Arabidopsis thaliana: one gene and its partner. The protein of the gene in region 2 binds, or shares a complex with, the protein of the main gene of each other region. Each region holds a gene or a part of one and is shown on either strand. Other genes may lie near its edges.

What was found. The genes of interacting proteins can lie anywhere in the genome.
Region 1: TAF11 (region 2) and TAF5 share a complex: the UniProt entries of both Arabidopsis thaliana proteins name them as parts of the TFIID complex.

What each region holds. Positions count from the first base shown.
Region 1 is NC_003076.8:8,674,907-8,678,662, forward strand, and holds the start of TAF5 (TBP-associated factor 5), read left to right. Parts: upstream 1-2,142; 5' UTR 2,143-2,210; coding exon 2,211-2,386; intron 2,387-2,699; coding exon 2,700-2,781; intron 2,782-2,866; coding exon 2,867-2,945; intron 2,946-3,061; coding exon 3,062-3,159; intron 3,160-3,257; coding exon 3,258-3,314; intron 3,315-3,430; coding exon 3,431-3,518; intron 3,519-3,611; coding exon 3,612-3,721; intron 3,722-3,756. UniProt on the Arabidopsis thaliana protein: TAFs are components of the transcription factor IID (TFIID) complex that is essential for mediating regulation of RNA polymerase transcription.
Region 2 is NC_003075.7:10,951,707-10,955,462, forward strand, and holds TAF11 (TBP-associated factor 11), read left to right. Parts: upstream 1-1,833; 5' UTR 1,834-1,994; intron 1,995-2,072; 5' UTR 2,073-2,085; coding exon 2,086-2,402; intron 2,403-2,472; coding exon 2,473-2,560; intron 2,561-2,648; coding exon 2,649-2,748; intron 2,749-2,830; coding exon 2,831-2,958; 3' UTR 2,959-3,370; downstream 3,371-3,756. Other genes in the region: BAM3 (Leucine-rich receptor-like protein kinase family protein), read left to right, coding at 1-765, 890-1,218; AT4G20290 (uncharacterized protein), read right to left, coding at 3,453-3,756. UniProt on the Arabidopsis thaliana protein: TAFs are components of the transcription factor IID (TFIID) complex that is essential for mediating regulation of RNA polymerase transcription.

The sequences.
Region 1 (3,756 bases), on a different chromosome or scaffold from region 2:
TTAATCATATTTTTTTATTGGTTAGATTAGTTGTAATTAATGATGTTTTTATAGAAAAGAAATAAATTAAATAAGATTTGTATATTTTCTTAATTTATGTGCAAAAACCTTAAACTACAAATATTAAGAAACAAAGAAAGTATGATTTATTGTAAAATAAGCTTATCATGAAGATGTTCCGTGCAAAACACATCCTTGAAATAGTAACAGTGAGATAAGATATAAAACATCTTATTAATAAAATTTTGTGATTGATTGAATTTGACTCCCCTGTAAAAAACAACAACTGATTTTAAAAACCATACATAGAAAACTATTTTATAGAACAACAATAAATACTAGTTTTTCACTATATAAGGACTTGATTGGTTCTTGAAAATTATATGTATTGATTATTGGGAGATTTGCAAAACTAGCCTTTTTTTACTACCCTTTTGCAACAATACCCTTTCATGTTGTCCATTTTTAAAAATATCTCTCCCCTTGAACAAAATGACCAAATTACCCTCATCTAATAAAAACATGTAATTGGAAACTGAAATTTTCCCGCCAATTTTTTGGCGCCAAAATATTTTTTTTCCCGCCAAAAAAAAGTTTCCGCCAAACTTTTTTCCAACCAAAAAAAAAAATTCCCGCCAACAAAAAAATTTCCCGCCAAATTTTTTTTTCGTAAAAAATTTTTCCTCAGCCAAAAAAAATATTTTAAAAATCCTTGTAAATATTTTTTAGCGCCAAATAGATTTACAAGGGATTTTAAAAGGATTTTAAAAGATTTACAAGAGATTTTTAAAAAGTTTTAAAAAATTTACAAGAGATTTTAAAAGAGTTTTAAAAGATTTACAAGAGATTTTAAAAGAGTTTTAAAAGATTTACAAGTAATTTTAAAAGGTTTTAAAATCCCTTGTAAATCTTTCAAAACACTTTTAAACCCTTTAAAAATCTTTACAAATCCTATGTAAATATTTTAAAACCCTTTAAAATCCCTTGTAAATATTGTAAAACCCTTTTAAAATCCCTTGTAAATATTTTAAAATCCTTTTAAAACAATTTTAAACCCTTTAAAAATCTTTAAAAGACCTTTGTAAATCTTTTAAATCCCTTTAAAATCTCTTGTAAATCTTTTAAAACCCTTTTAAAAATCCCTTGTAAATCTTTTAAAAACCTTTTAAAATCCCTTGTAAATTACCCTTTTAAAATCCCTTGTAAATCTTATAAAACCCCTTTAAATTGCCTTGTAAATCTTTTAAAACTCTTTTAAAATTCCTTGTAAATCTATTTCCCGCCAAAAAAAAAAATTGACGGGAAAAATATTTTTGAAAACAAAATTTGGCGGGAAATGTTTTTCAAAAATTTTTGGTGGGAATTTTTTTCGAAAAGGTTTGGCGGGAAAATTTTGGCGGGAAATTTATTTTAGAATATTTTAGGCGAAAAAATATTAATATTTCATTTTGTTAACCTAAAACAATTTCCAAATAAGGGTAAAATGGTAATTAAAAATTTAAAGAGAATATAAATAAAAATGGATAAAACAAAAGGGTAGAGTTGAAAAGGGGCATCATGAAAAGGGCATTTGAAAGAATTTTTCTTGATTATTTGATATCCAAAATTTTATAATATATTTTTAGAAAACGAGTTAACCATTGTGGGAGGAAATAACTGACCTTGTCTTATATACAATAAATTGTTGCAAGTGTTTAGTTTAACCATTGTAACATTTGATTTAAGAATTATTGTTTAAATATTTTTAAACTGGGTGTTTTGGAAAGTTATTTTTTTTTTTAAATAAAAGTTAGAAATTTTGAGAAGATAACATTTTTTTGGATAATTTTCAATAATTCTGTAAGAATTAATTACTCAAACAATAAATATTGGTATCTTGTCCCAATCTTTAAGTTGAAATAGAGAATCCAAAGCAAGTAATTTAAAAAGAAAATGGTTATGAGATTTTACATCAAAGTAAGGTCATGGGCTTATAATTCAAAAACTCTTAGTAAATTTTGAATCTGGGCATTTGCCCAACCTGCCACCCCCATAGACGGGCCTGGTTTTAATCATAACTTTGAAATTATTATATTTGGGCCACAATTAGGCCATTGAAACAGGCCCAGTTTTGTAGAGACACGGAATCTAAAAAACTGAAGATGTTTCAGCGACGAGATACAAGTTTCTAGGAGAGGAAATTGAATCGAGAGAGAGAGAGAGAGACAACAATGGATCCAGAGCAAATCAACGAGTTCGTCGTGGGCTACTTGAAGAAGAAAGGATTCAGTAGCGCTGCTAAAGACCTTGAATCTTATCATCACCAGAACAATAATGGTAGCTCCTTCACTTCTGTCGATTATCATAACGATCCTGAGCTCACGAAGCTCATTCGCTCCTTTTCTCAGTAATCTCTCTCCCTATCTCTCTCTCTCGTTTCAATTCTTAATGCGAATTGTGTTTTGAATTTTTGGGAAAGTTTTAGTGTCTTTTGTGAATTTTGAAAACCGTAAGGAAAAATTATGTAAGCTCCAACGTTTTTGAGAATCTAAAAATGAATATAATTCACTTTCTGGGTGAAGTTTATGTGAATATTTCTATCAGTTTATCTGTCAAATTTAAGATTTTGATGACATCTCAGTGGCAAGAAATTAGGTTTTTTTGTATGGCTTATGTAGAGAGAGCTAATGGTAATGAAATGTCTGTTCTTTTGTTTGCAGACAAGAAGATGATCCAACTCGGTACCGTGAAGGTTACAGCAAACTAAGGTCATGGGCGTATAATTCTCTGGATTTATATAAGGTGGGGATTTTTTTTTGTGTATCCCTTGGCTGTTTTGGGTAGAGACAGGCTTAATTGAACTGACGAGATGATTCTAATTTTGTAGCATGAATTGCTTCGAGTGATGTATCCTGTGTTTATTCATTGTTACATGGATCTGGTGGGGAAAGGGCACACTCAAGAAGGTACTTGTCAATATAGCAAATTAGATGTACTGAGTATTTTTTTTACCTTCGGTATAAGATTTTTGGAAACAGTGACTTATGCTACTGTGGGAAATAATACGTCTCTTGTATTCCAGCTAGAGCCTTCTTTAACAGCTTCCGCAAAGATCATGAGATGGTACACTTACGGGATCTTCAGAAGCTTGAAGGCGTGCTTTCTCCATCTCATCTAGAGGTTTATGATAAACCTTATATGGTCATATAATATTGATAATGGATTTTTTTTTTTTTTTTTTTGGTTATTATCTTTCTTATGATCTTGGTTCTTATCAGGAGATGGAGTTTGCTCGTTCTCTTAGAAAAAGCAAGGTTAACATCAAGTTTTGTCAGGTAGACTTGAGTGAAAATTGACTAGTAGCTGTAATAGGCAACTGCTTCGAGGTTTCTGGTCTGATTAACTGAATTCCGTGACTGCAGACCTCTAATATGCTTACTGAATGTTGCAGTATTCATATGAGCTGTTACTTCAGTATCTACATAGTACAGTATCGACTTTAATGCTTGGTATTATTAACGAGCACATCAATTTCCAAGGTAAATGTGTTTCTTTCTCTTATATATGCGATAGCTTGTAGCAGTTTTTTGAGTAGAAAATTGAATCAATTGGTCATGGATAATTTGTTGCAGTCTACTCGGGACAGCCTACTTCCTCATCCGATGACATAGAAGCTGTCACCATTGTCGGGAGTTTTCAGGACACTGCTAATCACATTAATCAAAAAGAAATACAGTGGGGAGTACGTATTTCCCCTAAAGTTTCTTTTCTCTTCTA
Region 2 (3,756 bases):
CTTGCAACGGTTCCCAAAACCAATCTCAATCTCAGCTACTTAACCAGAACAACGCAAGATCCCGAGGTGAAATCTCCGCAAAATTCAAGTTGTTCTTCGGGTTAGGCCTACTAGGGTTTTTCTTGGTGTTCGTCGTTTTAGCTGTGGTCAAGAATAGGAGAATGAGAAAGAACAACCCGAATTTATGGAAGCTTATAGGGTTTCAGAAGCTCGGTTTCAGAAGCGAACACATATTAGAATGTGTTAAAGAGAACCATGTGATTGGGAAAGGCGGACGAGGGATTGTCTACAAAGGGGTAATGCCAAACGGAGAAGAAGTTGCAGTCAAGAAGCTCTTAACCATAACCAAAGGATCATCTCATGACAACGGTTTAGCCGCAGAGATTCAGACATTAGGTAGAATCAGACACAGAAACATAGTGAGATTGCTCGCTTTTTGTTCAAACAAAGACGTGAATCTCCTTGTTTACGAGTATATGCCTAATGGTAGCCTCGGAGAAGTCTTGCACGGGAAAGCTGGAGTGTTTTTGAAATGGGAAACACGGTTGCAAATAGCGTTGGAAGCGGCTAAGGGGTTGTGTTATCTTCACCATGATTGCTCGCCACTTATAATCCACCGTGATGTGAAGTCAAACAACATCTTGTTGGGTCCTGAGTTTGAAGCTCATGTTGCTGATTTTGGGCTTGCTAAGTTTATGATGCAAGACAATGGAGCTTCCGAGTGCATGTCCTCGATCGCTGGCTCGTACGGCTACATCGCTCCAGGTACATGACTGATTCCTAATACTACTTTCTTGTATCACACGTAACATTCAAACTTAGGATTTCAGTACTTCTAGTTAAAACGTATGATTGATCTTAGCCCATTTTATCCGTTTCTTGAATGCAGAATATGCATATACACTGAGAATAGACGAGAAGAGCGATGTGTACAGCTTCGGAGTAGTGTTATTGGAGCTGATTACGGGTCGAAAACCAGTAGATAATTTTGGGGAAGAAGGGATAGACATTGTGCAATGGTCAAAGATCCAAACAAACTGTAACAGACAAGGTGTGGTGAAGATCATTGACCAGAGATTGAGCAATATTCCATTAGCAGAGGCCATGGAACTGTTCTTTGTGGCAATGCTATGTGTGCAAGAACATAGTGTTGAGAGACCGACCATGAGAGAGGTTGTCCAGATGATCTCTCAGGCTAAACAGCCTAATACTTTCTAAATGCAGTGATGTTATATATATAAGAGACTAAATATATATTTTTCTGTTTTATGTGTTTCATAGAGTTTTGTTTTTAGAATTTGTAATGATGGTTTGGTGGTGATATGAGTTTATATTGAAATTGAGGAGGAAAAAAAGGGTTAGCATTATATCTTCCTATCATAAAGTATCAAGCAAAACTAAATAACATTTGCTAGAAAATTATGAATTATGTGAAAGATTTGAAAAAATAGATAACTGTTCTTTGATTCATTTGGAATTATAAAAATCATGATGACCAAAGAAAAATGTTGAAATCACTCAAGCATTTGATTTAACATATGATTATCCAATATCTATAGAAATAGTTAGCATTTGAGTGTTTTTACTTTTTAGTATCCAATTCACTATCATTGATATTTTTAATTTTGTTGTCTAGCTCGATTTATAACATTTGGCTAGTTGTAAATCGTTATCCCAACATTGTATTCCAAAAAAAAAAACCAGTTAGTTATTCAGTGGTTTTGAACTGAGCCCAGCCCAAATCCAATGATGTGGTTCTCGAAACTTTTTGGGTTGGTTTAACAAAAACCGGTTCAGATCTTTTCTTTTGATCCACCAATTGATTGGACTAAACCGACTTATAACAGTCGCTACACTCCTATAGAAAAGCTTGAAATTGAACACAGTCGATGAATTTTCCTCTCCGCCTGGAAGATTGTGGAGCTCCCAGTTGTTGTTAACAACGGTCTAGAGATTCGTGTCTCTTGAAATTCGATCTGAGTTTCACCTTCAAGGTTCGTCAATGATCCGTAGCAATTTGCTTCGTTCTAAACCCTAATTTGAGATCTCAATTATGTGATTTTTTCGTTTAGGTTTTAATCAGGAATGAAGCATTCAAAGGATCCGTTTGAAGCAGCGATTGAGGAAGAGCAAGAGGAATCGCCACCGGAATCACCCGTTGGCGGAGGAGGAGGAGGTGATGGTAGTGAAGACGGACGAATTGAAATCGACCAGACTCAAGATGAAGATGAGAGACCTGTGGATGTTCGCCGTCCGATGAAGAAAGCTAAAACCTCTGTTGTTGTTACTGAAGCTAAGAACAAAGATAAAGATGAAGATGATGAAGAAGAGGAAGAGAATATGGATGTTGAGCTTACTAAATATCCAACTAGTTCTGATCCTGCTAAAATGGCCAAAATGCAGTGAGTCTTTGTAGAATTTTGATTGTTCTTCATGTTTCTTTGATGATTGATTGTTTGTTGAATTCTTCAGAACCATATTATCGCAATTCACTGAGGATCAGATGAGTAGATATGAATCTTTTAGGAGATCTGCACTTCAAAGACCACAGATGAAGAAGGTATATATGTTATATGATTTGTGGTTATCAACATTCTTAATTTTGTTTCATTGCAAATATGAACCATTTAGCTTTTATGTTAATGCAGTTATTGATAGGTGTCACTGGTAGTCAGAAGATTGGTATGCCAATGATTATTGTTGCGTGTGGTATTGCAAAGATGTTCGTTGGTGAACTCGTTGAAACAGGTAAGCCAGTGCAAAAATTTCCAATGATTTTGTTTATGTGCCAACAAAGCTCATTTACTGAACCTCAATACATTATCTGTAGCTCGAGTTGTTATGGCGGAAAGGAAAGAATCAGGACCTATCAGACCTTGTCATATCAGGGAGTCTTATCGGAGACTAAAGCTCGAAGGAAAAGTGCCTAAAAGATCAGTTCCACGCCTTTTCCGCTAGTCAACAAGAGCCAAAAGAGAACTTATATCAGCCTAAGACTGGGGAATTTACCAATGCTGCTCAAGGATAAGGGTCTACGGCAGGTTTAAGCTGGCGAGATTTGCCTATCAATCTCATCATAAAGGAGAACTTCTTTGGCTTCCCTGGTGGATCATATTGTTCTTTGATGTTCTTAACTTTGTGTGACAACTTTTGTAGTAAATCAATCTTTGGATACAGACCCTGAAATGGCTATCAGTCTTACGGTTTGGTTTTTATTTGGTTTACGTTTCCAGTTTTCATTTTCAATACAAGATCAATCTTTGACTACAGACCACATGGCCTAAAAGTGGCAATCCGGTTTACTAGGTTGGATTCGGTTTCATTTCCGGTTTTATAGAATTCGAAATCAAATAAAATCATTTGTAATCCGGTTTATTTGGTTAAATTTGGCTATACCTAAAAATTGGTTTTAGTATTGATTCGTTTTTGGTCGAACATTACAAGAACTGGGTTTATAAGTTCAAATTCAAATTGTGTATTTCTTCGGCGTGATTGAAAACCGTCGCGATCAGAATTCGGTCTACTGTCAAAATTGGTACGGAGACGTTTTGAATCACACAAGTTCCGGCGAAAGAGGATCTAGTGGGCCTGATAATGGGCCGATCTCGAAACGAACTATTACGTGAAGAGAAGAAAACAAAGTGGGTTGCGAATTGAAAGTCTACAGAAAATAAAAGGACTGGATTGGAAAAATAAAAAGAATAAAAGAAGTTTTGACACAATAACGCACCCACTATCTTTCTCCTTCCCTTCCGC